Linked DNA regions of Arabidopsis thaliana. The protein of the gene in region 2 interacts with the protein of the main gene of each other region in a pairwise test. Each region holds a gene or a part of one and is shown on either strand. Other genes may lie near its edges. The genes, in order: SD1-13, CAM3 and PP7.

What was found.
Region 1: the proteins of CAM3 (region 2) and SD1-13 interact in binary tests that used the Arabidopsis thaliana proteins (3 or more experiments, as listed by UniProt).
Region 3: the proteins of CAM3 (region 2) and PP7 interact in a two-hybrid assay, tested with the Arabidopsis thaliana proteins (one study listed by BioGRID).

Annotation. Positions count from the first base shown.
Region 1 is NC_003070.9:3,813,225-3,824,993, reverse strand, and holds SD1-13 (S-domain-1 13), read left to right. Parts: upstream 1-4,106; 5' UTR 4,107-4,241; coding exon 4,242-5,523; intron 5,524-5,602; coding exon 5,603-5,710; intron 5,711-5,800; coding exon 5,801-5,994; intron 5,995-6,078; coding exon 6,079-6,289; intron 6,290-6,393; coding exon 6,394-6,631; intron 6,632-6,725; coding exon 6,726-6,876; intron 6,877-6,960; coding exon 6,961-7,269; 3' UTR 7,270-7,570; downstream 7,571-11,769. Other genes in the region: AT1G11362 (Plant invertase/pectin methylesterase inhibitor superfamily protein), read left to right, coding at 1-364; AT1G11360 (Adenine nucleotide alpha hydrolases-like superfamily protein), read left to right, coding at 2,095-2,823; AT1G11340 (G-type lectin S-receptor-like Serine/Threonine-kinase), read left to right, coding at 7,778-9,053, 9,203-9,322, 9,411-9,607, 9,712-9,922, 10,020-10,257, 10,336-10,480, 10,564-10,878; AT1G11330 (S-locus lectin protein kinase family protein), read right to left, coding at 11,578-11,769.
Region 2 is NC_003074.8:21,030,788-21,040,464, reverse strand, and holds CAM3 (calmodulin 3), read left to right. Parts: upstream 1-4,298; 5' UTR 4,299-4,544; coding exon 4,545-4,620; intron 4,621-5,110; coding exon 5,111-5,484; 3' UTR 5,485-5,931; downstream 5,932-9,677. Other genes in the region: AT3G56820 (RmlC-type cupin), read left to right, coding at 204-404; AT3G56810 (uncharacterized protein), read left to right, coding at 1,538-1,985, 2,988-3,538; AT3G56790 (RNA splicing factor-like protein), read left to right, coding at 6,010-6,630; AT3G56780 (FBD, F-box and Leucine Rich Repeat domains containing protein), read right to left, coding at 7,189-7,491, 7,608-7,730, 7,830-8,852. UniProt on the Arabidopsis thaliana protein: Calmodulin mediates the control of a large number of enzymes, ion channels and other proteins by Ca(2+). Among the enzymes to be stimulated by the calmodulin-Ca(2+) complex are a number of protein kinases and phosphatases. Activates MPK8 in vitro.
Region 3 is NC_003076.8:25,554,647-25,565,188, reverse strand, and holds PP7 (serine/threonine phosphatase 7), read left to right. Parts: upstream 1-1,872; 5' UTR 1,873-2,030; intron 2,031-2,264; exon of another isoform or gene 2,265-2,275; 5' UTR 2,276-2,280; coding exon 2,281-2,676; intron 2,677-2,754; coding exon 2,755-3,249; coding exon of another isoform or gene 3,250-3,264; exon of another isoform or gene 3,265-3,337; coding exon 3,338-3,484; intron 3,485-3,559; coding exon 3,560-3,667; intron 3,668-3,757; coding exon 3,758-3,853; 3' UTR 3,854-4,119; downstream 4,120-10,542. Other genes in the region: VPS20.1 (SNF7 family protein), read right to left, coding at 52-193, 275-430, 565-717, 812-964, 1,198-1,299; UVR8 (Regulator of chromosome condensation (RCC1) family protein), read left to right, coding at 6,602-6,695, 6,883-7,069, 7,261-7,407, 7,620-7,701, 8,093-8,248, 8,656-8,829, 9,035-9,106, 9,347-9,418 and 4 more. UniProt on the Arabidopsis thaliana protein: Phosphatase active on para-nitrophenylphosphate (pNPP) and on various phosphoproteins such as myelin basic protein.

The DNA.
Region 1 (11,769 bases), on a different chromosome or scaffold from region 2:
GGATTTTTATGGCCTTACCAAATATTTAATTACTTATGAATCTCGAAAATTTTCAGATATGTTGAAACAATTCCAGTCACTCGTAAACAGCACTACGGATCCTAGTGCTAAAGGTTCCTATCATGTATGCGTAGGAACGTTTGACAAAGGTACTGGTTGTTTTGATGACGCCTTCAGACATTTGGCATCCAAGGACTATATCACTTTGGAATGGAGTGTTGAATGTACGTTTGACATGGCAGCTGGGTGTGAAGATGAGCTGTCAACTTTCAAACCTAATCCACAACTCTTCAAAGATATTTCTATTGTCAAAAATCTGTCTATTATGGGTTTGGTGATTGTGAAACTATTTCTGAAAAAATAAAAAACGTTATATTAGTGTTGTTATTGCCTCTTTTTAAGATATCCCATAAATCTCTACAAAAATATCGACGATTGAATTGAGAAAAGTTAATGGATCTCTCATTATGAGAAAGTTTTGACTTTTGAGAAATCGGTATGACAATTATCTTCACATGATTTATTAAACTTCTTCCTATATATTTTTAATTTTTAATTATATAATTAGGCGATATTAAGACTTGAAAGAATCTTCAACCAATGGATATGATCTTTAGATTTTATTATCAGAATTGTGAAAAAATCAAATACTTTTAAGACTGGATTTTTAGCCCCTCCTTTACAGCCATTAGGTCTTATAACCGATTAATCTAGCGGTCCTTAACAATATCCAATTCTCATAAAAAAAAAGAGTCAAAAAATAGAAAAAGAGTCGCTGTAAATACTCGACTAGGGATCTCACCTATACAAAATTCGTAAAAAATCTAAAATTTTCAAAGCTCACAAAACCGTTGAATATTTGCCATATTGCCATTGATGTAAAATTACACATTGTTTTATTTTGCACTATTCACCTACCTTATTCACCTACCTAGCAATAAGAATTTTGTGCGATTCATCCCAGATTTCCTTTATTTTTACATGAATGAAATCTACGACTGTAAAACCTCACATATCTAAATTACGAAAAAGGAAACCGTTGAATCTTTGCCATATTATTGCTATTAATGTTAATCATGTCATTACTTATTAGTTATTACTAATATAATGAAGAAGATACGTAATGTTAGCATTAAAACTGTAGATTATTATTATTTGATTAAAGATGTAAATCATCTTATTATGGTAGCACAATGTTAGCATTAAAACTCTAGATTAGATACGTTCCCCTTTCCACTATACAAATCACACATAATTCTCTAAAATCCTGAACAAAAAAATGTTTTCAAACGTCAAAAGTTGTTTATTAATTCATATAGTTTTTTTTTTCTTGTTTTTGTTGTTTCATCATCTGCAAGATTTAGTACGGAGATTACAAAAAGTGAAATCAACAGTATCTGCACACATACAGAAGCCAATACCAATGCTTCATTGTGCTTTGAGTTCCTGAACTCATCCCCTGAAATTGCATCACTGGATTTCTATGGCCTTACCAAATATATACTTACTTATAATTCTCGAAAAACTTCAGATATGCTGAAACAATTCCAGGCACTCGTAAGAAGCACAACGGATCCCAACGCTAAAGGTTCCTACCATGTATGTGCAGAAATGTTCGACAAAGCTACTGATTGTTTTGATGACGCCTTCACAACTTTGGCATCCAAGGACTATATCACTTTAGAACAAAGGGTTGTTTGTACGTTTGACATGGGGGATGGGTGTAAAGAAGAGCTGTTAACTTTCACTCCTAGCCCACAACTCTTCAAAGATGTTTCTATTGTCAAAAATCTTTCTTCTATGGTTTTGGTGATTCTAGATTATTATCTGAAAAAATAAATAAAAGTTATTTTAGTTTTGGTATAGTGTGTTTTAATTATATAATTAGAATGACTATATATTACCATTGGAGAATATCTATGGTTTTGGTTATATATTTTTACAGCCGTTAGATCTTCAAACCGATCAATCTAACGGTTCTTAACAATATCCAATTCTCATAAGAAAAGAGTACAAAAATAAAAAGAGTCGCTGTCACTATACCGTACCGTACAGAGTCAATTGAAGAAACCGAGAGAGAGAGTGAGCGGAATCATGACTTCTCCGGGAAAATCTCCGAGATCCGACCGGAAATCACCGACGGTTGTCACCGTCCAGCCGTCTTCTCCCAGATTCCCGATCAGCACACCTACTGCTGGAGCTCAACGTAAGATCGGGATCGCTGTCGATCTAAGCGACGAGAGTGCGTACGCAGTTCAATGGGCTGTTCAGAACTATCTCCGATCAGGTGACGCCGTTGTTCTCCTTCATGTTCAACCGACGAGTGTACTTTACGGCGCCGATTGGGGCGCTATGGATTTGTCGCCGCAGTGGGATCCAAATAACGAAGAGTCGCAGAGGAAGCTTGAGGACGATTTCGACATTGTCACTAATAAGAAAGCGAGCGACGTTGCTCAGCCTTTGGTTGAGGCGGATATTCCGTTTAAGATCCATATCGTCAAGGATCACGATATGAAGGAGAGGCTTTGTTTGGAGGTGGAGAGGTTAGGGCTAAGTACTTTGATTATGGGTAGTAGAGGATTTGGTGCTACGAAGAGGAGTAGTAAAGGGAGATTAGGGAGTGTCAGTGATTACTCAGTTCACCATTGTGCTTGTCCGGTGGTTGTTGTTAGATTTCCTGATGATAAGGATGGAGAAGATGAGAAATCCGGCGACAGTGGTGGGGAGAATCTGATGGACAGTGATAAACTTCATACAGTGCCTGAGGTGGCTGAAGAAGAGGGAGATAAGGATGAGTACCATGATGCTTCGGATAAGCAGTAGCAGCAAGGTTGACTTTGAATGCATGTCAGTTTCAATTTACTTAGGAATATTATATACAATCAGTAATACTCTGCTCGGATCAAGCTTTGACCTTTAGAATGATTGGATATTAGGAAGATCCACTAAGATGCTATTTTATTCCTGATGCTTGAGGTGTGTATGTTTGAACATTTGCGCATATCATTGCTTTAGTTGTATTCAGTAATCTCTTGATGTTAATGACCAATAACTTACATATGCATCTATTGATATGCTAGAGATTTGCTGTTTGTGAGTACTTTTTTTTGTCTCAGTGATGTCTGGATATGTCAAGTTATTTCTTCAAAAGTTGGATCAATCAATGATGTCTTATCTGTGATCACTGATCTTGTGCAGGCTTTCATGTTGCAGAAGGAGACCTCCCTAAGGAGACTTAGAAAGAAAAGAAAGCGTTCCTTTGCCCTTGGTTTGTGTTCTTGAGTGTGCTTAATTGTGTTGTTTTTGGGGTTTGGGGTATTCTAGATCTCTTTTGTAAGTATTCTCTTGTTTCTTGGTTTTGTTTTAAACTCTATGGAATTTGGGATGAGTGGATTCGATGTCTTTTGTTTGTCTTTGAAAAAGCAGTGAAAAGAATTTCAGTGGTCTTGTATATCTCTGCAGTTGAATAGTTGGTACAAAATAACATCTTTGACGGTTCCAAATAATATATCTTGTCAGTAATGACCATTAAATAAACTTTACCATGAAATGGCTATGCTTGCATCTTTCAGAACCATTACATTTGTCTTGTCCTGTTTCTGACTTTTCTCTTGACTGTGTGGAAGTTCATAAGATCAATGGTACCGATGTGTCTTTGTTTGTATCTTTGGGAAAAAGACTGATAATGGTTCCGAAGTTTCACTGTTTGTACAGTCTCAAATAAGTTCTATTTTGTCTCTCTGCAGTTTAGTTTTCCCCATAGAAAGCATCTCTGATGGTTTCAAATGTAGGCATCATTAACATTTTCACCACATTGTCCCTATTCTCAAGCAGCGAACTCTCTTCCTATGATCAACGTCCACTATCTATTCCCAACTTTGAAGAGTTAAGAGACATTTACCTAAGGAATCGGTAAATCCTTGTTTGCATTTGTCGATTTCATGAGCTCCTGTTGCCTGTTGTTGCGCGACCTGGTTTCAAAACGGCTTCCAAGTTCGATTTCAAGTTTGCAAAATGTGAAGTTGTCTCTGATAGTGACTCCTTGCATGCCCCTATCTCACACATGCTCGTAAGGCCCCATCACACTTTCCAATTATTTCTGAGCGGAAAAGTCAAGTGTGGTGCCTCTGCCAGTGGCAATTAAATGTAACCACCAAACATTAGATGACATAAAGTTATTTCAAGTCTTAGGATTAAATCAACCCTTAAAGCTCTACGTTTCTCTCAAAGTTGCTGAGAAGATGGGTTGTTTGCTAATTCTTCTTCTTACATTGATTTGCTTTTCCTTGAGGCTTTGTTTGGCTACTGATGTAATCACGTTTTCTAGCGAGTTCAGGGACTCTGAGACTGTCGTCTCCAACCACAGCACCTTCAGGTTTGGTTTCTTCAGCCCGGTTAACTCCACAGGACGTTATGCAGGGATATGGTTCAATAATATTCCTGTTCAAACCGTGGTTTGGGTAGCAAACAGTAACAGCCCGATCAATGACTCTTCCGGAATGGTTTCCATATCCAAGGAAGGGAATCTTGTTGTTATGGATGGTCGCGGACAGGTTCACTGGTCCACCAATGTCTTGGTGCCGGTGGCTGCTAACACCTTCTATGCCCGGTTGCTGAATACAGGGAACCTCGTGCTGCTAGGAACTACTAATACTGGGGATGAGATTCTTTGGGAGAGCTTTGAGCATCCTCAAAACATATATTTGCCAACAATGAGTCTTGCTACTGACACGAAAACAGGCAGGAGCCTTAAGCTAAGATCTTGGAAAAGCCCGTTTGATCCATCGCCTGGACGATACTCTGCAGGTTTGATTCCTCTGCCATTTCCAGAACTTGTTGTCTGGAAAGATGATCTTCTGATGTGGCGTAGCGGTCCATGGAATGGTCAATACTTCATTGGGTTACCAAATATGGATTACCGTATCAATCTTTTCGAGTTAACCCTTAGTAGTGACAATCGAGGATCTGTCTCCATGTCCTATGCTGGAAATACTTTGTTGTATCATTTTCTCTTGGACTCCGAAGGAAGCGTGTTTCAGAGAGATTGGAACGTGGCTATCCAAGAATGGAAGACCTGGTTAAAGGTCCCATCGACCAAGTGTGATACATACGCCACATGTGGCCAATTCGCTAGTTGCAGATTCAATCCCGGGTCGACTCCGCCTTGCATGTGCATTAGAGGGTTTAAGCCACAGAGTTACGCGGAGTGGAACAACGGAAACTGGACTCAGGGATGCGTAAGAAAGGCACCATTGCAGTGCGAAAGTCGAGACAACAACGATGGAAGTAGAAAAAGTGATGGATTTGTGAGAGTGCAAAAGATGAAAGTGCCCCACAATCCACAACGATCTGGAGCCAATGAACAAGACTGTCCTGAGAGCTGTCTGAAGAACTGTTCTTGTACGGCTTACTCATTCGACAGAGGGATTGGTTGTCTTCTTTGGAGCGGAAACTTGATGGATATGCAGGAGTTTTCTGGCACTGGCGTGGTTTTTTACATTCGTCTTGCAGATTCAGAGTTTAGTAAGTGTAGTATCAACCTCATTTTTCCATCCAACTTAGTTTACTAGATCATAACAGATTTGCACCAAATCTTTTGTAGAAAAGCGGACCAATCGGTCAATTGTGATCACAGTAACTTTGCTAGTAGGCGCTTTTTTGTTTGCAGGGACTGTTGTCTTAGCACTGTGGAAGATCGCTAAGCATAGAGGTTAGCGTTACATTCCAACTATATAAGAGATATCTCTCTATGATTTTATATTATTAGATAACTAACTTTTTGCATTGCTTTGTTTAACAGAGAAGAACAGAAACACAAGGCTACTTAATGAGAGAATGGAAGCTTTAAGTAGTAATGACGTTGGTGCAATCCTTGTGAATCAATACAAGCTTAAAGAGCTACCACTGTTCGAGTTCCAAGTGTTAGCAGTGGCGACCAACAATTTTTCTATCACAAACAAGCTCGGACAAGGAGGATTTGGTGCTGTTTACAAGGTTCTTAAACAATTCTTTGTTTCATTGGTAGGAGGAATTTCAAAGTGACAATGGAGTGTTAAGTTGCTCTACTTTCATTTACAGGGGAGGTTACAAGAAGGGCTCGATATCGCTGTGAAGAGGCTTTCGCGAACATCGGGACAAGGAGTCGAGGAGTTTGTGAATGAAGTGGTCGTGATCTCAAAGCTGCAACACCGGAATCTCGTGAGATTGCTTGGTTTCTGCATTGAAGGAGAAGAGAGGATGTTGGTCTATGAGTTCATGCCAGAGAATTGTTTAGACGCATATCTATTTGGTAGTGAACTTATCGTTTGGTTTAACTCTGTTACAGTCTTAGTAGGCACATGAACAGAACCTAATGCTAGTCTTGTTTGTGCACCTTGTTGCTGTGTAATCCAGACCCGGTGAAGCAAAGACTTCTTGACTGGAAGACGCGGTTTAACATAATCGATGGGATTTGCAGAGGTCTTATGTACCTTCACAGAGATTCAAGGCTGAAGATCATACACAGAGATCTAAAAGCAAGCAATATTTTGTTAGATGAGAATCTAAACCCGAAGATATCCGACTTTGGGCTGGCTAGGATTTTCCAGGGGAATGAGGATGAAGTAAGCACCGTAAGAGTGGTTGGAACATAGTGAGTAGCCACCCTAACTAACTCTTACACAGCTTTTTCTGATCTTTTTTCGATGATTGTCAATTATGTAACTGACAAAAGCATAACACCACAGCGGTTATATGGCACCCGAATATGCAATGGGAGGGTTGTTCTCAGAGAAATCTGACGTTTTCAGCTTAGGAGTCATACTCTTAGAGATTGTGAGTGGAAGAAGAAACTCAAGCTTTTACAATGATGGGCAGAATCCAAATCTTTCAGCTTATGTAAGTCTCATTTTAAAACCACGACCTTTCTTTTGGTAAAGCTTTTGAACCATTCTTGAAACTTTATCTCCTTATTTTGACCAGGCATGGAAACTCTGGAACACCGGGGAAGATATTGCTCTTGTGGATCCGGTCATCTTTGAAGAGTGTTTTGAAAATGAAATACGCAGATGTGTGCACGTAGGACTATTGTGTGTACAAGATCACGCAAATGATAGGCCGAGCGTTGCAACGGTGATTTGGATGCTAAGTAGCGAGAACTCAAACCTTCCAGAGCCAAAGCAACCTGCATTTATACCTAGAAGGGGCACTTCAGAAGTTGAATCCTCGGGACAAAGCGACCCAAGAGCATCGATCAACAATGTGAGCCTCACAAAAATAACAGGACGTTAGCTCTGTAAGTGAGATAAACCTACTGCTAAAGAATTTTGATGAAAAAATGTTTAAGTTGTATATCTGTATGTAAGAGTAATCTATAGGTTACGAACTAAAATTCAGAATCTGGTCATGTTCTTGTATGAAGTCACATAAATATAGAACATGTTTTATTGTAGACAGAGCATCTGAGCGTACTTCTTTGGAATACAGTTTCTGCTCTTTAGTCCAATCATTGCACATACAAATACACAGAATGTAGATATGTAATCATAGGAGTTTCTCGATACCAACAAAACTCTCCATTTTTGGTACGTAATTAATGATTATTGTTGGTGTTCTTTTAGTTAGTTTCACACTTTTAAGTCACATGAATCAGTTCTTACATCTTTTTGAAAGTCCAACCTTTGAGATATATCCGGAACTGGGGCGTGACTCACAGTTAATGACTGATCCACTTGGTTTTCAATACTTACACAGCATTTATACATTTTCACTAAATCCTTGCTCTGAAACAAACACAAATATGAAGGTTGTCTTCGTTATCTTCTTTTTCTTCCTCTTCCAATTTTGTATCTCTGTGGATACAATTATGAGAAGACAGTCCTTGAGAGATGGTGAGGTTATACTCTCCGCAGGGAAGAGATTCGCGTTTGGATTCTTCAGTCTTGGGGATTCAGAGCTCCGGTATGTTGGGATTTGGTATGCTCAAATCTCTCAACAGACTATTGTTTGGGTTGCAAACAGAGACCATCCTATTAATGACACCTCTGGGATGGTAAAGTTCAGCAACAGAGGCAATCTCTCTGTCTATGCATCTGACAATGAAACAGAGCTTATCTGGTCAACAAATGTTTCAGATAGTATGTTGGAACCAACTTTAGTTGCTACACTCTCTGATTTAGGCAACCTTGTTCTGTTTGATCCAGTCACAGGGAGAAGTTTCTGGGAGAGCTTTGATCACCCTACAGACACGTTTCTTCCGTTTATGAGATTGGGATTCACACGAAAAGACGGTTTGGATCGCTCTCTAACATCATGGAAGTCTCATGGTGACCCTGGTTCTGGAGACTTAATACTGCGGATGGAACGTAGAGGGTTTCCACAGTTGATTCTGTACAAAGGTGTAACCCCATGGTGGCGTATGGGGTCATGGACCGGGCATAGGTGGAGCGGGGTGCCTGAAATGCCAATAGGGTACATCTTCAATAACTCATTTGTGAATAATGAGGACGAAGTATCCTTCACTTACGGTGTGACAGATGCTTCGGTCATAACAAGAACCATGGTGAACGAGACTGGAACCATGCACCGGTTTACATGGATTGCGAGGGACAAGAGATGGAATGATTTCTGGTCAGTTCCTAAAGAGCAGTGCGATAACTACGCTCATTGTGGCCCTAACGGTTACTGTGATTCCCCTAGCTCAAAAACGTTTGAGTGCACATGCCTACCTGGTTTTGAGCCCAAGTTTCCCCGGCATTGGTTCTTGAGGGACTCTTCTGGCGGGTGTACAAAGAAAAAGAGAGCTTCAATATGCAGTGAGAAAGACGGGTTTGTGAAGTTAAAGCGCATGAAGATTCCCGACACATCAGATGCAAGTGTGGATATGAACATAACATTGAAGGAGTGCAAACAGAGGTGCTTGAAGAACTGCTCTTGTGTCGCTTACGCAAGTGCTTACCACGAGAGTAAAAGAGGAGCAATAGGATGCTTGAAATGGCATGGTGGTATGTTGGATGCAAGGACATACTTGAACTCGGGACAAGATTTCTACATACGTGTAGACAAGGAAGAGTTAGGTACACATCTATAAATGAGAATCCCTATTTTCTACGTTCTTGCTCTTCATAAAACAACCACTCTGTTTCATTAAAACAAAGAGAATAAAGAAACATGTCAATGTTTAGTATCGAAGTACTTCAAATACTGAGTTTCTTGCTTGTTTCAGCGCGGTGGAACAGAAATGGCTTATCAGGGAAGAGGAGAGTCCTTCTGATTCTTATCAGTTTGATTGCAGCCGTAATGTTACTAACTGTCATTTTGTTCTGTGTTGTAAGGGAGCGACGAAGTAAGTGAATATCTGATGATGAATCTCTTAAGATGATATGCTGCTATCTTAGCTCACAACTAACTACTTGAAACATGTTCAAGTGCAGAGTCAAACAGGCATAGAAGCTCTTCGGCAAACTTCGCCCCGGTCCCTTTTGATTTTGACGAATCATTTAGATTTGAACAAGACAAGGCGAGAAACCGGGAGTTACCTTTATTTGATCTTAACACGATCGTTGCAGCAACAAATAACTTCTCTTCCCAAAACAAGCTTGGAGCAGGTGGTTTCGGACCTGTTTATAAGGTAATGAAGAGGCAATATCCATTTTTCATCAATACTCCTCCAAGAGAGAACACTATTAAGTTCAATAAGTAGTAAGGAATATTGTTTCCTTTGTTTCTACTTAGGGCGTGTTACAAAACCGTATGGAGATAGCGGTGAAGAGGTTGTCGAGAAACTCGGGACAAGGAATGGAAGAGTTCAAGAACGAGGTCAAGCTGATATCAAAGTTGCAGCATCGAAATCTCGTGAGGATCTTAGGATGTTGCGTTGAATTGGAAGAGAAGATGTTGGTATACGAGTATTTACCAAACAAGAGCCTAGACTATTTCATATTCCGTACGTTCAACATTTTTAACTCAGGTTCAAATTCTCCCTTTCAGGAAGATCAATGACTCTGAATTTTCTTGTTTCTTTCTTCTTATCATCATGCTAGATGAAGAGCAGAGAGCAGAGTTGGATTGGCCAAAAAGAATGGAGATAGTCCGAGGGATTGCTCGTGGAATCTTATATCTTCATCAAGATTCAAGACTGAGAATCATCCACAGAGATCTCAAGGCCAGCAATATACTTCTTGACAGTGAAATGATCCCAAAGATTTCAGATTTCGGCATGGCTAGAATCTTTGGGGGCAACCAAATGGAAGGATGCACAAGTAGGGTCGTCGGAACATTGTGAGTTACTCTTTTCTGAAACACCACAAAACTGTCCAAAATCTTACAACCTTAAACTGTTTCAATCTTGTTGCACAGCGGATATATGGCACCGGAGTATGCAATGGAGGGACAGTTCTCCATTAAATCCGACGTCTATAGCTTTGGAGTATTGATGTTAGAGATCATAACCGGAAAGAAAAACAGTGCTTTCCACGAGGAATCATCTAACTTAGTCGGACATGTAAGTACATAACTGAAAATTTTACACAAAAACAGAGGAAAAAAAACAGAACATAAGTAAATGTATGTTTCTCCGTCTTGTAGATTTGGGATCTATGGGAAAACGGTGAAGCAACAGAGATCATAGACAATTTAATGGACCAAGAGACTTATGATGAGAGAGAAGTGATGAAGTGCATACAAATTGGGTTGCTCTGTGTGCAAGAAAACGCTTCGGACAGAGTAGACATGTCCTCTGTTGTCATCATGTTGGGTCATAACGCCACTAATCTTCCGAATCCAAAGCATCCTGCGTTTACTTCCGCGAGAAGGAGAGGCGGTGAAAATGGTGCTTGTCTTAAGGGACAAACCGGTATTTCTGTTAATGACGTTACCTTCAGCGACATTCAAGGTCGTTAAAACAACTTCCAAATGTTTTACTTTTTTTCGTATAAGAAGAGAAGAAGACTAGAGGATCAGTTACAGGAATCAGGAATCTTATTAACTCTGTAAGTTTGTGTAATGAGACTGGTTTTTTGACAAAACTTATTTATTGAAGTACTGATAACAAAAGAAAGAAAATGACTAATAATAAAACCATTGCTAAAAACAAAACACAAAAAGGAAATTTCTTCGCTGCTATAAAATAATTTTGTGCAGAAAATTCAAGGTTGTTATGTAGTTAATGTATCTTCGAAAAAGTCAAAACTGATGTTATTTTCTTATCCCCTATCCAAGTTTGTTCCAATATACATATACTTATAGCAAAGCAACCAATACACAAAACCAATAATTGTGTTTTAATTCTTTCTTCTCAAGACAAAACCTATGTGCTGTGGCTTTTTCTCAAGAACAACGGATTTTTGTTCTTGTCCTGTTTTCTTCAGGTTCAGTTTCTTCATCCAGGTTAGTTAATTCCAAAAATCTGATTATATGTAAGAATAGGTCAAGTTTCAACAAAGTTCATAAACCTGAAAATAACTTCTCTGTTCTTATTTCAGTAATCTAACCATTGCACAGACGCAGATAACAAAATTTGTAAACATAGGAGTTTCTCAAAACGTGTATATTACATACTATTATGTATATAAACAGACTGAGATTGGCGTGGTGGTGAGGTTAACGTCCTGTTACAGCTGTGAGGCTCACATCATTGATAGATACCTTTTGACTACTCTGGTCAGAAGATTCAGCCTCAGAAGCTCCTCTTCTTACTATAAACGCTGGCTGCTTCGGATCGGCGAGGCTCATGTTCTCGGTAGTTAGCATCCATATCACGTTTGAAACATTTGGTCTATCGTTTGCAACTTC
Region 2 (9,677 bases):
ACTAATCACTGTCTAAGAATGAAAAATCGAGTTTCTTCCATTAAGATGTTTAGTAATGTGACTAAGTGGGCTTATCTTACTTGTTTGAACCTTTTTCCTGTGATGATTGTGCCCTGGTTTTCCATTTCTTTACTGCTCTCGGGTCAAGATGAACCAAAATCATCAATCAAACATTGTTTATGGACAAACCTATATGAATGCAGCTGGAAAACCACGAAGTCGATAAAGGTTACGCCGAAGTGTTAATTGGAGAGGATGAGGTAGCTGTAGCTGTTAGTCAGAGTGGCACGGCTCATGCTCTAGTAAATGTAGATCCTGTGCGTTCTACTTTCTTCATAGGCTGCCAAGACCATATGCAGAACAACAGCTCAACTAGCGACTACAAAGTATGGAATGATCTATAAACCAAAGTGGGTTAGTTTAGTTTCTCTTGTTCATTCAAATTTTCATTGGCTTTTCTTTCTTTCGAGCCCTTATTTGTATAGAGTAGGCTTTGTTTTGACTGGTCAGTCATATTGTTACTGAGATTATAAACCTGAAACTTCCAATGTTGTGTTCATTGATATGATGGTAAGATTAGTCTGATCAGTGAGAATCAATTCGTATGTAGAGTTTGTTGTTTCTTCACAGCTGAATGTGCAATGCATGTCTTTCTAAAAAAATCTTATTGCAATTTGCCAACTCAGCACTGTAATCAATCAATTACGAAGTCTTATTATTTATGATCAAAATGTTTTATGTATTTTAAAAACTTCAATCACAATTATATTTGACAGATGGAAATATATCTCTACATGTAAAATTTGTGAGCAGTGTTAGTTTTTCTGCTTACCGAAAATTGTTAAATTAAAGCATAAATTGTTTTCTTCAAACGTGTAAATGATTTATGGTCTCAAAACAGAGTGCCATTAATGATGCAATTACAATTACTCGTACAAAAAATATCTAATTCTTATAGGATTGATAAAAAAAGCTCTAAAAGTTTTCTCTGTCCAGCATGCACAAGGTCATGAATCTTAAAGAACACTCTTAATAATGCCCTTTTGTTTCTCATAGAGCCTTGTGCTAAACTCCTAAATGCCTAGTATTTGATTAGGGTTCTTAATTTTGTTAATGGAATCCCCATCATGTTGTATTCGAAGGTCTAGTTGAAGTTTATCTAGAGTTGAGTGATAATTTACTTTGTAAGCCAGTAAGCACTAATTAAACTTCAAAATAGGAAACAAAACATGAAAGACACTATAATGTCTAGCCAAAAAATGACATTATAATGTCTATAGCTAATAAGTAAAGTGTCAATGCTTTGGAATTTGCCATGTGCAAATGGACCAACCTTAAAGTAAAAAAAAAAACGTAAAACAAAAGTGAAAAGGAGAATAAAATAAAAATAAAGCATGGAGACCTAAATCACAAAAAGGGTATAATATTATAATTTTACCGTTGAAATGAATAATTTCTTTTGACTAAATGGGAATTTAAGGTTTTAGATAGAGAGAAAAAGAAAGAGGTGAGAAAAACAAAAACAGATAGGAGGAATATGAAGAAGAGTAAACGAGAGAACTTGCTTTCTCCTTCATCTTCATGGCGGGAAAACCATAATCCTCCACGGAGAAACTCAAACTCCTCCGCCGTCTCCTCCGGCTGCCTCCCCGGGTTCTTCAACCTCTTCCTCTCCACCTTCAACCGCCGCAAATCCATCACCTTGGGATCTAAAAAGCGAGAACAAAGAACCGTCGTTTACGCTTCTCCTCCGCAAGATTCATCAAACGGACAAGGCGGAGGAATCGTTGCGCCACCGCTTCCGCACAATGAAGGAGAGGGAGATGCGGCGAGAGTTAGTCTAGTCGGAGCACTAGAGAAATGTGATCGGGACTTAGAGGAGCTAAGAAGAACCATCGACGTCATCAAAACCACTTACATTCTTCACAAGAGACTTGAGGTTTCTCCGCCGACCACACGTGAGAATTTTAAATTCTCCGGCACCGGTACGTTTCTCCGTTTTTGTCAGTGTTTTGGTCATCTTATACGTTTAATACAAACATGTCGAAATCATCTTTTTTTTTTTTCACTTATAAAAACTTCTCTTATTTATTGATAACTTAACAAAAATCAAGAAAGAAAAATTCATATTAAAATGTGGGAGAATTGATGTGGTCCGTAATTTGTAGCACATTATCAGGGAATTTTGTATTTTAATCTTTTGTTGTTCAAAATAAATAAATTAAAGTAGTAAACTTAAGTGAACATTGTGTCAACTAAAGTAGCAATAAAGAGTGAAGATAGAATGGGAAGGCCAAAGAGTTGTCTCTTTAATTTGGTGGTGTTGAAATCATGAGTATGTCCAATAGTGGAAGACAGGCTCATCATTTTGGTATATACAAATAAAAGTATATTGATAAAGACATCTTATTGCTCTAACAATTTCATGCATGCATAAACTGTGTTATTTGATTTTGATGTCACATCTAATTGCTCTAACAATTGGATCATTATATAGTTGTTGTCATATTGAGGATAGTGTTCAAAATTATATAAAGACAATATAGTATGGACCCCAATTAAGTTTCGGTGGGGCTAATTATGTAATGAGGTTTAGTCTAATCTGATAGGATCAAATTAAAGTGGAGAAGAGAGTAAAGAAAGTGTGAGGAGAAAGAGGCATGTTAGACAAATGATGAAGGAAGAAACAGCTTTTAGGGGCCTTTATTCCTTTAGTCATGAAGCCCACTTTAACTTTTCCCATCATTTGGACCCCCACCCATTCTTTGATTTATTCCTGATTCTGACCCACATACTGTTTTATGGTACCAAATCAAGAACACCACTTTTAAAGAAAAATGATTCTACAAGCACTTCATGTATGCCTGAGTCTTATTATTCGCTAGTAATAGTTTATATATATTTGTGTGACAACGTACTAATTTATATACTAAACACACAAGTTGTCTGATAAATTATTTTCGTCTTATTTAACAAACAACCAACAGTACTGGCAGGAGATGTCGTCGTGGGGACGCACACGCAGAAGAACACGAAGACGACACAACACGAACCAGACACAGACACGATGTTGTCGATGATGAACCATCACGAATATTGCTGCAAAGACAACAAACCCTACAAAGTCAACAATATAAATCTAATCACTAGACCCGATCATTACTCCATTCATGACGTCATTTCCAAGAGATCAACGTCAACGACGACGACAGAGTCATGTGGCACGTTGCCCCTTGTGGTGCGGAGGGTAAGACGGAGCTTGATGGAGAGCGTGAACCAAGTTTGTGATGACGTGGCATCTGGTCAACGAAGAGAGGTCGCTAAAATCGGTTTGGCTCTTCATGATCACATCTGTCGCGACTTGATCGCAGAGACCGTTCGAGAGCTCTCCTTCTCTGACTACGACGACGACGAGTTTTATCAATCGCCGGTGGATTCTTCTGTTTGTTACGGCGGAGGAGGTAAAGGCCAACACATCCGACGTGGCAGCAGCAACTCTCTCCCATTCGACGCGTGTCGAAGAAGATTAGTGTTTTGATGCGATTGATATCTTTAGGTTCGTTGTGACGGTTATGGAAGTCATAGTTGCGACAATTTTCACCTATGACACTTGTTGTTTAAATTATTTTATAATTTTCTTAGCTTATTCAGAATTTAAGACATATCTTTCAATAGAGTGCAATTGGTTGTTTAGGGTTTAATGAATGATACACTATTTGCATTCAATATAAAAACTTTCCCTATTTGATGAATTCATGTATATACTAGTACTACATAGATTTCCTTAAATAAATGAATGATTAACAAAATCAGAAACAATATATTCATCTAGATACAGATATTAATGTTTTTTTTAATAACTCATCCTATATTTTAAAACTCGATCGTTTTCTCTTTATATATACCTTTCTTAAGTTACCTTATATACATAATTTAATCATAGAATTTATTAAGAAATTGATTAGACGTATCAATTATATCTTGAAGTGATTTTGATTGTTTGAAAACGAAATCTAATCTAATTAATTTGCAGGTGATATTGTACTTAAGTTAACAATAAAAGAAACTAATTATTTGTTTTCAATGGTGAGGAGGACTACTTAAATTCAAAAGCGAAGCCAATCATAAACAGACATCTGTACTGAGAGAGATCTCGAGGACCCAGCGAGAATGCTGACGTGACAGTCAAGTCAACGCTCCGCGTACAGACCGCGTGAACGTGTGATCCGTTTAATTGTCCACTCTGGCGTTTTATAAGAGAAAAGAAATCATTGATGATAGCATTAACGCAATTACAGTCATAATCCGAGGTTATAACAGAGATTTTTCCAAACCCGGTACGGGTTAAAAAAAAAAGCTTTTAAAGTCCCGGGTCGGAGCAAAAGTCGTTAATAGCTTCGTACCCGATAAATACGGTTGCTCTCTCGTTTTTTCCAGCAGAGACACTTTTTCTAATTTTCTCTTCTTCTTCTTCTTTCTCGTTTTGAGAGAAAACAAAAAAATTCTGAATCTACAGGTTTCACGAAAAGGAGAAGAAAAAAACAATGGCGGATCAGCTCACCGACGATCAGATCTCTGAGTTTAAGGAAGCTTTCAGCTTATTCGACAAGGATGGTGATGGTACGTTGTTGTTTTTTTCTCTCTCCCTCTCGCAATTTCAAATGTTTTTGAATACATAGGATTTTGCTACTGTTGGATCTTGGTGTCTAGCCATAACTGATTTGATTTCTGTTCTTCTTGTTGATTCAATTGATCTGTGTCGATGTAGATAATTAACGGATCTGTAATTCGTGATCTCTAGACTCGTTCCTTGTTTTTCAATTTTTGTTCGTTTGTTTCCTGGATTGGATTTGAATCGAAATTTGGATGATTGATGACTTGGAGATTTGCCAATTTGTTATCGATTTGGATTTAATTTTCCATCTGAATTATTTTATCTCACTTTAGATTTGAGAAGTTAATGACTAGAAACTGTTAATTGAGAAGTTTGGGATCTAGCTAAAATGCTTCTCTACAGAGAAACCTGCTTTGAGTTTCGTAATTGAAGATATTTGATTGAATTAGATTTACAGAGAAGTGAATGATGAACAAATTCTTGATTTGCTTGTAGGTTGCATTACCACCAAGGAGCTGGGTACTGTGATGCGTTCCCTTGGACAAAACCCAACCGAAGCAGAGCTTCAAGACATGATCAACGAAGTGGATGCTGATGGTAACGGTACCATTGATTTCCCAGAGTTCTTGAACCTTATGGCTCGTAAGATGAAGGACACCGACTCTGAGGAAGAGCTCAAGGAAGCATTCCGGGTTTTCGACAAGGACCAGAACGGTTTCATCTCAGCAGCTGAGCTCCGCCATGTGATGACAAACCTTGGTGAGAAGCTTACTGATGAAGAAGTTGATGAGATGATCAAGGAAGCTGATGTTGATGGTGATGGTCAGATTAACTACGAAGAGTTTGTTAAGGTCATGATGGCTAAGTGATGCTGTTTTAGAACCAAACAATGGCTCTATAAACTTGGTTTGCATCTCTTACATATAAATTCTTATGTTATGTTCTATAATTTTTATTCATGGGACTCGAGGTATGTTTTCTGCTTGTTTAAGACGCGAATGTTTTATCCCTTTTATGCTCTATTTTGCGTCTGAACATTTTCAAAAGTCTTGTTTTTTTGTTGTCTTGCTCCTGTAATTTGTAACCTTGGTCTAGTTCGCGGTTTTTTATTAATGGTGTCTCTCTAGTAAAGCATTGTATCATGGTTTTGTGAAATGCAAATTAGGTCCTATCAATGACTAAAAAGGTCAAAACGTGGTGTGGTGTGTATCATTAAAAAAATAGAAACCGACATAAAAGTTTCCAATTCGTGGTCGTTTAAGAAAAAGGAAAACGGCATAAAGTTTCCTATTCGTGGTTGAATTGGGATCATTCAATTGATGTGAATATAGGTAAAATACCTTTGTGTTTCTTTGTTCACGTTCGTTTCATACTTCCCCTAAATTTGTCTCATCATGGATAACAAGAAGCAGAGATATTCCAGGAGCATCCGTGACGATCGTGATGAGAGAGATAGGACTAAGCATCATCATGAGAGGTCTCACGAAGGAAGTAAGAGGAAAGATAGATCAGAGGAAGAGAATGGGGCGGCTAGGACGACAAACAAGAGTTCTAGGTTTGAAGATGTAGCTAGGTTTGAGAAAAGGCCGTATACTTGTTCTATTGCATCGGACACTACTTCTAGTCAAATCCTTGAAGCTGTTAAACGATTTCAGGAGCTGGCAATAGATACGGCTGTTGCACATAAACAGACCAAGGGCTTTTTTCTGCGTGTAGATGTACTTGGAAGAGAAATAGATGAGTATGGGCATGTGATTAATCTTAGTACATTGATGGTTAACAACAACAAACACAAGAAAGATGTTTTTCAGAATATTCTTAAACCTCCCCAACCTTTTAAATTGACAAAGAAGGAAGAGAAGAAACTGCAAACTCTAAGGCGTGTGGCAAAAGAAAAGGAGAAACAGAAGATGATTAGACAAGCGTTGTTTGAACCACAAAAATCAAAGGTGAAATTGAGCAACCTAATGAAGGTTCTTGCGTCTGAATTAGCAACCCAAGACTTCTTCTTATGAAGAGTTTCCTTCTTCTCATTTAACAGATTAACTATGAAGAGTTTGTTAAGGTCATGATGGCTAAGTGATGCTGTTTTGGAACCAAACAATGGCTCTAAACTTGGTTTGCATCTCTTACATATAAATTCTTGTGTTATGTTCTAATTTTTTTTTTGTGTGGGACTCGAGGTATGTTTTCTGGTTGTTTAAGAAACGAATGTTATATCCCTTTATGATCTATTTTGCGTCTGAATATTTTCAAAAGCCTTGTTATTTCTGTTGTCTTGCTCTTGTAATTTGTAACTTGGTCTAGTTCGTGGTTTTCTATTAAAGGTCTCTAGTGTCATTGTTTTTTTAAATGCAAATTAGGTCCTATCAATGGCAGTCAGTTTACGTTAAATTGATTTCCTAACGGGGCTCATTGAATAGCTTCAAATGATCAACGAAACAGAAGGCCAATAAAAACCTAAACACAAGAGAATGTGAAACACCTCAGTAGAAATTTTAATGAAACATTGAATTTAGTGAAGCATCAAATCATAAGATGTCCGCGAGTTTCTTCCAAATATTAGCAATCATTTAACAATTTGCTTTGTTTCTTATAATTTCATTCAAAAGAACTTCACATGACTTTGAACCTCTTGGCATCGAAGCTAAGTCCTCTTCAATCTGTTGCTTCGCTTCCACTTCACATGGATATGTCTTATAGAAGATTTTTGCCGTTTTCAAACAAAGCGCATGGTTCAGGAGATAACTCACCAGATCCTTATCTCCGTATCTCCCTGTGTACCCTTTCCACTCTAGAGCTTCAAGACTGGACAACAAACATTCGGGAACCAAACTTGGCGGTTCCCAACGACCCAACGGGGTTAGTAAGTAAACCTGCGATCACGAGAAAAAATGGTAAAACTGCTATTAATAATAAGATCATTGAGGTCGAATATTAAACACTAGTATAAATTACAATGGTAAAGGAAAAAAGGGAGAAAACTGAATACATGTTCAAGCTTGAGGACCACCAATTTAGTGAAACATAGGAGCAAATCTACAAGCATTTCCACAGATCTTTCACTACATATGCTCAGCTCCAGATGCACGATTCGACTGAAGGTACTTGCATCCTAGAAAAAAAAGAAAAAAAAAACACGATATTTCATTTATGTGATGGTTCCAACAAGATATAACACGAGAAAGAAACGACATGGAATGAAAAAAGTTACCTCTAATTTTGATGGAACTCCGAGCCTAACCCGTACAATATACCGGTAACGGCTTGCATATGCCAACTCTTGAATGCTGAAGTACTTGAAAGAAGGTGCGATAATCGCAAGCTTTCGAGTGTAGTTTTTCATCAAACTAAAAATATGCTTGGAATCTGCATCGACTCTTGTGATAATCGACAATCTTTGTAAGTAAGGCATGTCGATATCCAAATTCAACAAAACATCACTGGTTTTTTCTTCCAGTGTTAGGTCGGAGAGAACAGGGCAATTGGATAAAAGCCGACAAAAGGAATCATTGTTAAAGTCCTCCATGCGGGCAACATGGAGAGTTTTGAGGAGTGGGAGACATACCGCGGAAGAAGAAGAAATGCTTATCACATCCTTCAAGCCTTCGAGTTTCAAGGCCATAAGTGTTTTACACCAAGAAACGTCGTACTCAGCAAAAAAGAAACGAGATTCTCTTATGACCATTAGGTCAGTAATAAAATTGCAATTGGATAAAAGCATTTGAAGGGATCCAAAGTCGAATAAACTCGAGTGGTCAATGTGCAGAGTTTTTAGGGATGGGAGAGAGACCGTTGTAAGAGGAGCTTCCACATCGATCACTATACCTTTGAGTTTCAAGACAACAAGTGTTTTGCAGGTAAACAATTCAGGAGGTAATACGGTATGGACAATACAAGCATCTATCTCTAGCTCACGGAGGTGGCAATGATGATGATGAAGCGCGGTTCTAATCCATGGTCCAATGTCTTTATTCCACAGGGTCACACTTAATTCGACATGAAGGCTTTCTAGAACATGAGATTGGTGTGAGAACAGAGACTTGTCGAGAAATCGTTCAAATCTAGTGTGATCCCGAACATCGTACTTGAGTATAGGCACCCTTGTCCAAAGAGATTTCCATTTTTTTGACAAAAGACTTGTCACTACAACATGTTTAGTAGAAACGAATGACAAAATCTTCAAGATCAAATCGTCGGGCAACTCGTTGATACATGAACAAACCTTCTTTGTCATTGTCTCTGTTTAGGTCGAAAAAACATTAGACTATGTTTAAAACCCTAATTACAAATAACTTGTTTAGGTCAAAACTCTTTATTGCTTATCAAGTTTCTCCAATAACTAATAAATATAATTTCCAACTAATACTTACGAGATTTCGTGCGAGGTAGATTCTGAAGATCTGGAGTCTGGAGTCTGGAGTCTGGACGAAGAGGATTCACCGGAGTTATGAGATCTCACAAACCCTTCGACTTCCCCACAAAGAAGAAGATAACCAGTTAGTATGAACTTAAACCGATCTGATTAATGTTCTGGTTCAATTTCTTGGTTCAATCATATCCCTCGGTGTGTTTATATGGGCCAAGTAGAAAACAGAGTCTTAAAGCCAATTAATTTCCTTCTTTTCAATAGAAAAGGATAAAAAATCCATTACATAAAAATGCAAATGAGAAATATCAAAATTGTGCTTTCAATAAATCCCCTTTTAAAGAAGAAGAAACATAGAAGTTGTTGATGTGTTGTGTAGATATACTAACAAATTTTTTATTAAAGTTTGATATGATATTATTTGGTAAAAGATATATAGTAAAAAATTTCTTCTAAGTTTTTGCTTTTGTAAAATATTTCTTTTTTATGTTAAGATAACTTTGTAAACAAAAATTGGAATACCTTGCCAGTTGCCACCCTTCACTACCCAATTTTTTTTGTTATCTAGAGCTATTAAAAATGTTATGAAACATACAATTGCAATCGTTCGGTTGCGGAAAAATAATGAAACCTTTTTTCAAATTTTTTTTTTTAAAATATTTCTACAAACACCTAAGTATATATCTATGTACA
Region 3 (10,542 bases), on a different chromosome or scaffold from region 2:
TAGTTCTTGCAATTCTAACAAGGAAAAGAAGAAGAAGACGAAAGGAAAAACCTTTTGTTTTTGTGGCGGACTCAGCTGGTGTGATTTCCGCATTGGAAGCGACAGGAGTTTTTGTTGGCACATCCGGAAGATCCAGCTTCTCAGATTCTTCAGACTCCTTTGTAGGCACTTCAGGCATCTCATCAACAATAAGCTTTAAGCAAAACACACATCAACATTAGTCTCTTTATCTAGTAAAGATAATAATACACAAATTTATTTTGTAAACCCATACCTGACTTTCTAGGTTGTCAAATTCTGCTAATATATCTTCCTCATCCTCTGCTGATAGTTTCTCTCCCAATATAGCGTTCAGCTCCTGACATTCGGAAATGTAAATAGAGTCATCAAACACAAAAGCTCGACAAAAAAGATTATAGAGGTTTTCACACTAGACGAGCTCAGAACAAACTGTGCCACACAAAGCAGTGATCAAATAAGAAGATATTTACATTCTGACAAAGCGGATAACGTAATAATGAATCATAAACAAATGATACGAAACCCGAAAGTATTTTGACTCACATCTTGATAAGCTTTAGCATCAGCAGTATCATCCATTAGTTTTTGAACATCATCAAGGTCCAATTCGCTTTGAATGGCCTTAATAGCACTATTACCCTGCTTTAAGCTCTCAAACACTGCCTTTTGTTTGCTCGTAAGTTCAATATCTGTTAACTGCGAGTTCACATGAAAGTTTGAGAAAGCCATAATTATGCATCAAAAGAGACGATGCCGGATACAAAACATACACACAAGGAGAAGGATTTACTTGTTGTTCAACATTGATGACCCATTGATCCACTTGCTTCAATAACTCTTCTTGAGTTCGTTTCTTCCTCAATGCTAACAAAGCTCTGTCCTTTCGCTTTTCACGGATTAAGTCTCTTGCAGCTTGCTTTTCCGCTTCAATTACTTTCTCAAGCTAAATTAGCAAAAAAAATGAGAAGATCGGTTAACAAAGAGATGAGCCAAAGAACTCAAAAGCTTGAGTCTTTCTTTTCCATCACACTACTAACAATCATAAGACACATATTGTGAAACGAATCAAATCCAATCTCCAATTAGGATTTTGGATGAATCAAAACTATATGATCTGGGTTCCAAAAGAAATTGTAACAAAAGAAAATTAAGATATAAGAAGAGAGAATAAAAAACCTTCTGCTGATATTGACCAAGCTTGCGTCTTTGGGTTTTGAGAGAGAGAATCGCTCGATCAACCTCCGTGATCTGTGGTTTCTTCACGAACAAATTCCCCATCTTTTCTTCACTTATCGAAACCAACGATTCGGAAAATCAAACGAGCAGAAGAAAATTTAGCAAGATTTGATCTTTTGACGAAATTGATTATTAGTCTCTAGATTTCCCAAAAATGTCGCCAATTTCAAACCAAAGTCCAATTTTTGTGTTTCTTCTCTCTTTCTGCTTTTCAGTACAAATATCTCAAAATAGAGGAAAAGCATGAACCGGACCGAAAAAATGTAAAAATCGATATCGAACCGATTTTAGTCGGTTTGATTTCATCCACACTGAAAAATAAAAAAATCGAAACCAAACAAAAATTCCTTGGATAGTACCGTAAACAAAATCAAGCTGAAATCGATAAGTAACCGAATAGACCAATGTATAATTCGGTCTCCCAATTTTGTTCAAGTTTATATCAAAACCAGAACAAACCGGTTGGCCACCTTTAACAAAATCTCGAACTCGCGTTTTCGATAGCGCGTGATTGCAAAACGCTATTGCAGCGTCACGACAAAAAAGGTTTGTTCGTTTATTAAACCGGCCGGTTTGGAATCATGAATTTGATTTGAATCCTTTTAGCTGGTTAACCGACGTCGTTTGAGTAAATGGATCCAAAGCCAGACAGATCCTAAATCTCGTCGACGACGGTGTCGGGACTGAAAGCAGAGAGAAAGCAAAGTAAGCTAGCTTAGCTAGGTCCAAGATCCAAGCTTTGGAATTTTGTAAATTGTCTCCACTCTTAGCCGGTGAGTCTCACTCTGTTCCGAATTATTCTTTGTGATATGGATTTCGATTTCCCATGATTCGATTTTGTACTTTTTGCTCTTCTCTTGAGTTTAAAGATGTACGAATGAATATATACAGATTCGATTTTATGTTCTGGTGGCTTTGATCGCTGAAATTTGAAAACTTTGTCTATGTTTCGATTGCTTGATACTCTTGTTTCACATGTTCATACTCTGGAATTGATTATAGATTAGTGTTTTTACAGTTTTAATGGAAACTGTTCCACCATCTCCCATTACATGGCCAGATGGGGGAGCTCTCACTAACGACTGGGTACATGGGCTTATGTCGTGTTTCGAATGGTCTTCATGGAATCTACCTCCTTCCCAGTTACCTTCACTATTGCCTGTCAACGTCTTTGATTCCCTCGTCCTCACCGCTCATAAAATCCTCCACAAAGAACGTAACTGCGTTCATATCGATGATCTTGACTCTGTATCCAACGTTGTTGTGGTTGGTGACATTCATGGTCAGCTTCATGACCTTCTTTTCCTATTGAAAGATACTGGCTTTCCTTGTCAAAACCGGTGTTATGTTTTCAACGGAGACTATGTGGATCGCGGTGCTTGGGGACTTGAAACCTTCCTTGTTCTCTTGTCCTGGAAGGTAAACTCTTTACTAAGCTGTTTTACTATTGGCTCAAGTCTTAGTATTCTTAAAGCACATATCTTTTTGGTTGTTTAGGTTTTGATGCCGGACAGAGTCTACCTACTCCGTGGTAATCATGAGTCAAAGTATTGTACATCTATGTATGGTTTCGAGAAGGAAGTGCTTACAAAATACGGAGACAAGGGAAAACATGTGTACCGGAAATGTTTGGGTTGCTTTGAAGGTCTTCCTTTGGCTTCCATAATTTCTGGACGTGTTTATACAGCACATGGAGGGCTTTTCCGCAGCCCAGTCTTGCCTAAGCGAACAACAAGGGGGAAAAAGAACCGTCGGGTAGTTCTTCTGGAACCTGAGCCGAGCTCAATGAAACTCGGTACCTTAGATGAGTTGATGCAAGCTCGAAGATCAGTTCTTGATCCTCCTTGGGAAGGTTCAAACTTGATACCAGGAGACGTTTTATGGTCTGATCCTTCAATGACTCCGGGCCTTTCACCAAATGAACAGAGAGGCATTGGTCTTCTTTGGGGTCCCGATTGTACAGAGGATTTTTTGAAGAAATATGAACTGAAGGTGACACCAAAGTAGATATTGATGCTTGTTTGCTTCCCAAATACTGATATGGATGATTGGATCAAATGTTTTACACTTATTGGTGCAGTTGATCATCAGATCACATGAAGGTCCAGATGCTAGAGAGAAGAGAACTGGTCTTGGTGGAATGGACAATGGATATACAATAGACCACAATGTCGAATCCGGAAAGCTTATCACTATTTTCAGTGCACCTGACTATCCGCAATTCCAAGTATGTATTTTTACGCCTTTGGTATTTGCATTTTCTAAAGATATGCGTTAACAATCATTTTTGTGTGTGGTGTAGGCAACAGAAGAGAGGTACAAAAACAAAGGAGCATATATTATTTTGCAGGCGCCTGATTTCTCGGATCCTCAATTTCATAGTTTCGAAGCTGTTAAACCGCGACCAAAGGTAACTAACTTACGATGCTGATAATGAACCAACGAGTTGTTTTACTTCTTTGATACACATACATAGCGACATCGGTTTTTAAATGTGCAGGCGCATCCATATTATGACTTTGAAAATGTCATTGATTCTGATGATGAGATGGATAAGTCAGCAATGGACACCAATAACGAACAACCAAATAGCTGACCGAAGCTGAAAAGGAGTATCTTGAATTGATGTTTTTTACAGTTGTTGTGATTGCTCATTATTTGCAAACATAAAATGGAATCAAATGTAAAGAAAAGAGATGAAGAAAATCATTTGTAGAATTCACATTTAAGTTATGTATGGAAGATGAAGAAATAAGAACCATCTTAAATCTCATGTAGTTCTTAGTTTCTTGGTTCCTACACGTCTTATTTAAACCTAAATCTTGTAAGATTTTGCTCTGTTTTGTCAGGTTAGCCTAAATCTTGAGAGGTCAAACTTGCAGTAACTTTCATTGTATAGAATTGCTTTTAACTGAATGATAAATCGAGTAGTAGATTAGTCCAATGGAAGTTTGTGGATCAAGTTATGTGTCTGTCGGCATTATAGTTTTCCTTTGAAATATTGACACATTACTAGAATCTTATCCAACAAAAAATTGTGTGGTTATGAAAATCCTAAGTAACGAGACAGCTTATTAAATGCCGAATTTGGTAGCAATTTGTTCAGATGAATGTATGTCTTCTTGTAAAAGACAGTATGAAGTGGAGGTTGATGCTAACTATCTTATGGTTCCTTATTGCACTTTGAAGCATTTATTGCAATTGTTTTCGGTTTTTTCTCTTGAGTGGGCTAAACTAATAATGGTCTGTTCTTTCTCTAAAGAGAGAAGAATTCGACAGGAGCGTGAAGCATCTTCATTCGCAAATATAACACATTAAAGCTACCTCTAGCATCATCTGTGTGATTCTCTCCAAGGTCATTCGTTGTCTGTCACGGGGCATCTCAAGTAATAAAGCTTAAAGTTAACTGTCTTTTCAGCCAAATAGTTTCATCATCTAAATATTCACATGATCTTCCATATTTCATCACCGATTATGGTTACAACATTTTTGCAAACCCTAAAATTTGTGTTATCGCCAAACTTGACCCTTATACCGGAACCCATGTGGGTGGGTGTTGATTTTTACTGTTTTGTAATTTGTTCATCGACAATCATTGACATGTACTCACCGCAATGTTTTTTCTTTCCTAGTTTCATGTGCATATATGTCTCTAAACAGTAATTGTTTAGCACTTCATGTCAAGCTTAAATTATTATAGGTGTCTTATCTTGTCTCTCTAGTATTTTCTGTTGAAGTCATGTGCATTAAATTGTATATAGTACTTCCAATGGCTTTCATATAATTTCCATTTTTCCACAAATTGTTCGTAATGATGTTTATTTAACAAGATTATAAAAGATAATGCAACAAATTTGTGTGATGAATGATGAGATGAACCCATTTGAAAGAGGTCGCAACAAATGTCAACATTAGAGACCATCTTGATCTAGAGTTTTGTCTCGTTGACTTTAATGCCAAAATTGGACAATACATATAATGCATGTATCAGGCAATGCAAAAATATCTTCATTCATTTAATTTTCTTACTATAATAGATGTCACAACTTCCCTCACTGACAAGCATATAATGTTGGTTTTATCTCAATGTAAACAACCTTTTAGTTTCACATAAATGTTAGGTCGAGCGAGGTGATATATTCGTTCCAGATCGGATGAAACAAGTAATTCATCGATGTTACCTTTATCCATATGTATATGTAAGATTATGGGTTTTAGGTAATCTAGTAAGTACTACTAAGTAGTATCCGTATGTAATTTTTTATTTATTTTTATCCGTTATGTATAATTTCTTTGGCCGTTTTCGCAAAATCTATATTTGGATGTTTTAGATCGTGAATTGATATATCTTAATTTGAATATTTAGGTATTCATATATTTTGAATCTATAGTTGACCTGTTGACCATGTATTTTGATTTGAATATCTCGCTCGATCGATAGAAGATTTTTTTTTGTTTTTGTTTTGTTGATAGTAGAATCTTCAAGTTGTAATTTAACAAAAAAAAAAAAAATCAAGTTGTAAGTAGACCGTATATCTGTATATTTCCATATGTAGAACCATGCATTTTGAATAATTGAATAAAATAACATGTAGCAAGACGTATCTTCATATGATAATCAGAATCATAATAAAAAGACAAACTGTACACCATATTGTAATCCAGGTTTAATTTGACCTCTTTGAAAAACTAAAATAGCTGAACTGAATATTTATAACTAAAAAGACAAATTGGATATGTCACTTTGGACTATGAAACTCAGAATTTTTTTTGACTAACGTGTATACTTTCACACGTGTGCATGACTAAAAACATATGATTAGGCTCTTACGATCTATGCGCCTTACACCTGTGAATGATGAACACATAAAACACAAGTTACGATCTAGAATGTCATGTGTACTGGCTTAAATCTACTTATGTGAAGAGGTAAATGAAATGGTCAAGAAACAAAAAAAAAAAGAAATGGTGAAATTATGAAAGTATAAAACTTTACCGGTGAGGTCCGTATTTGGATTTATTAAGTGAAGAGGGACCCTTTTGCAATTAAAGCCTGTACGACAAAAAAGAGATTTACTGTACGGTTAAAACAAAAAATAAAAAAACCAGCAAAAGTAAAAAAGTCAAAAAGCAGATATATGACATGTGCAAATCTCCATCGCGCCTTTATTACCATCTACCGCTTTCTCTCTCTGTCTTTCCTTGTTCAACCCTCGAGAGATTACGGATAGTGAAAGAGAAGCTACAAAATTTCCCAATTTATCAAAAAATAGAAATTTCTTACTTTTTTCAAAATTCATTTCTCCCCAAAAAAAATATCTTGTGAAAACTGCAACTGTGATCCATGGCGGAGGATATGGCTGCCGACGAAGTTACGGCTCCTCCTCGTAAGGTTCTTATCATCTCCGCTGGTGCTAGCCACTCCGTCGCTCTTCTCTGTACGTCTCTCTTCTTCTTCGCTGTTTTTTTTCCTTTTCTATTACGGACTCAAATAATCACCGGAATTGTGAAATCCGCTGCTTTAGTAGGCTGTGCTCTTCGCGAATTCTCTTGATCTGGCCTTTAATCGAGTTTCCCTTACTTTCGTCGTCTACTAATGAGTAGTTTTATGTTTTGATTTTGTAGCTGGTGACATTGTTTGTTCTTGGGGTCGAGGAGAGGATGGACAGTTAGGTCATGGCGATGCAGAGGATCGACCTTCTCCGACTCAGCTTAGCGCTTTAGATGGCCACCAAATTGTTTCCGTTACCTGTGGTGCTGATCACACTGTTGCTTATTCACAATCAGGCATGGAAGTCTACAGTTGGGGATGGTTTGTTTCTCATCATTATCTTCTTCTTTGCTGCTGAATCAATTGCTCTTCAGTCTGTTTGATATATTCGGGATGAGATGATGACCACTAGTTCCTCTCTAGATTTTTGTGTAGAAAACAGTAACTAATTATACACTCATTTGCACATATTTTAAGCCTCGTGTTCTCTAACCTTTATGTGTACTTTGCAGGGGTGATTTTGGGAGATTAGGCCATGGTAACTCAAGCGACTTGTTTACTCCGCTACCAATCAAAGCATTGCACGGTATTCGGATCAAGCAGATTGCTTGTGGGGATAGTCATTGTTTGGCTGTCACTATGGAAGGAGAGGTCCAGAGGTATTTTCTCTTTGTTATTGTTCTTCTCCTTATGTGCAATCATTTACAGTTTACATCTCAGCTCAATTAGATGAATTTCATCGGAATTTGATAATGTCGATTGCGTCCTGTGTCATTTCTATATATCTTGGTTATTGTGTACATTGCCTTTTAAACGTTTTGTCTGTCTTGTCTTGTTTTCCAACATATCTCTTTGACTTCTGTTTATACAGTTGGGGCCGCAACCAGAATGGTCAACTTGGTCTGGGGGACACCGAAGATTCTCTAGTGCCTCAGAAGATTCAAGCCTTTGAGGTTTGTATCACTAAATATTCTTCTAACATCTTTTTTCGTTGTAGTTTCCTCAACTTGCCAAATACTATGCTTCAGAATTGGGTCAATGTTGGGTCTATTTCTGCAACTTGATCTTCTTAAACATATGACTGTTACTAGTTAAGGGTCCACATCTGGTGAAGATGTCTTCAGAATCATAATTTAAGTTACATAATTTTAGGAGTGGTAGATACTAAATTGGATGTCTATGTGTTATACTATCTGCAAAACACAGATAGAAGGTAGGATCTTATTGATAATTTATCGGACTAGGTAAACTAGAAGATTAAGTGATTAGAGACCCTGAGTTTATGTTGTTAGTTTCGCTGATCTCCATTGTTACATCAACACTTTAAACTTGTAATGGGTGCAGGGAATACGAATCAAAATGGTTGCTGCTGGTGCAGAACACACTGCTGCAGTTACAGAAGATGGTGACCTCTATGGATGGGGCTGGGGAAGATACGGAAATTTGGGATTAGGTGACCGGACTGACCGCTTAGTTCCTGAAAGAGTTACCTCTACTGGTGTAAGCTAGAAGACTCTTGTTCTATAATTTTTGTTTAAGCACCTGCTACTTGTTTAAACTTGCATTTGAAGTTCAGTATACGTGAAAGAAATCGTGAATAGCTCAATATGCACTGCACTATTCTGGATTAGCTGTCTATATTGATGGAGTCACACGTATATGCAGTCTAATTTCAGTTGGTGGGTGTCAGGGAAGTGACCATAAAACTTTTAGAATGATCAAAGTTTGGTATCCTGAATCTGCACAGTTCATGAAATGAAATTTAGTTCATATAACATTGATATCACGCAACCTCACCTTTTTACCAACTTCTATTTCTGCATTTTAGTCCCTCAATTTTTTCCTTAATTCTCTTTTCATTTCGACTCACTTGACTCTCGTTTTCCTGGTTGTAACTACAATTTTAGGGTGAGAAAATGTCAATGGTTGCTTGTGGATGGCGGCACACAATATCAGTTTCCTACTCTGGAGCATTGTATACTTATGGATGGAGCAAATATGGACAGCTAGGACATGGAGACTTGGAGGATCACCTTATTCCTCACAAACTGGAAGCACTGAGCAACAGTTTTATCTCCCAGGTTTCACTTAGGCCTTATAAATCTGTCTTGAAATACAAATTTGTACATCTGAAATATCCAACATATGGGATAGCAATAATATGTTTTTCGAAAACTTTCTGACAACTATTACCTACTGAAGAAGACTGGCTTCATTGTATGTACTTCTGTTGGTTTTCTTCTTCTGTTCGACATCTTTTGGACTTACTGTTCGTTTCTTTTCCAGATTTCGGGAGGTTGGAGACATACAATGGCATTGACTTCAGATGGAAAACTATATGGATGGGGTTGGAATAAGGTCTAGAATGTCTTGCTTTTTTTTTTTTTTTTTCTGGCCTATATTTCGTAGAAATGTATAGAACACCTATTTTCATCTACACATTCACTGATATTTGCATTTAGTTGCTTTATGCTGTTAAGGAGTGATATGCATTCACTTAGATGTTATTTTAAGAAAACAACAATGCATATATTGGGTAACTTTAGTAACTCATCTTGAATAAAACAAACTTCTAATTGTCTCTCTTTTAGCCTGCAGTTTGGACAAGTAGGAGTCGGCAATAATTTAGATCAGTGTTCTCCTGTGCAAGTGCGATTTCCCGATGATCAGGCATGTTATCCCTAAAAAAGTTTAACGAGAAAGCTCGTCCCAATGTTTTACCGGCTATATAATCATATTAATAAGTTCATGTCTCAATTCGCTGTTTTCTTTTCCAATGCACACATATTGTGGAATTTCACAGAAAGTAGTTCAAGTCTCATGTGGATGGAGACATACCTTGGCTGTCACTGAAAGAAATAACGTGTTTGCTTGGGGTAGAGGTACAAATGGACAGCTCGGCATTGGAGAGTCGGTTGACAGGTAAAAGTGTGATCATCTAATCGCTCATGAATCAATGTTTTCCACTTAACATATCTTGGTGTTACGAACAGAATATGAAAATTGGCCAGTAAGATCGTTGTTTCCACCAAAATCATTGCTTTTCAATCCCACTCACTACCTATCTTGATAATGTGAAATGGATATTTGGTTTGGTGTTTATAGGAACTTTCCCAAGATTATAGAGGCACTCAGCGTCGATGGAGCAAGTGGACAACATATAGAATCTTCTAATATCGATCCATCTTCAGGTATTTAAACAATACCACTAGTTAAAACGATTTCTGTAAACGACTCAACAAGTGATTAAATGATTCAACTTTTGCATTGCTTTGTTACCAGGGAAAAGCTGGGTGTCGCCTGCAGAGAGATATGCAGTTGTTCCTGATGAAACGGTAAGCCTTAATTTTGTTAATTCTACTAAACTTTATATCCAATACGTAAACTACAATGAAAGCAAATGGCACAATTATATCGGCTTAGAACCAGATTTTACTGATTAATCATTGCTGCACAATTATACCTTGCTCTGTCAAGATCGTGGATTGTTTTCAAGGATGAAATCTATGTGTGTGATTTTGAATTTGGTTGTGTGTTAGGGCCTAACGGATGGTTCAAGCAAAGGTAATGGAGGTGATATCAGTGTTCCACAAACTGATGTCAAGCGTGTACGAATTTGAGCCTGAGTCAATTCCGTTTTTTTTTTACTTCCGGTTCTTCCGTTGGATTCGAAGGTTTTTCAGTGATCTCTTTTGGGTTGAGGTTTGTACTAAGAGTACGTCTGTCTAGTTTGGGATTGTACTTTTTGTTGTTGTTGTTAGTTTGTAACTTGTGATGCTTCCCTCCCCCTAGCT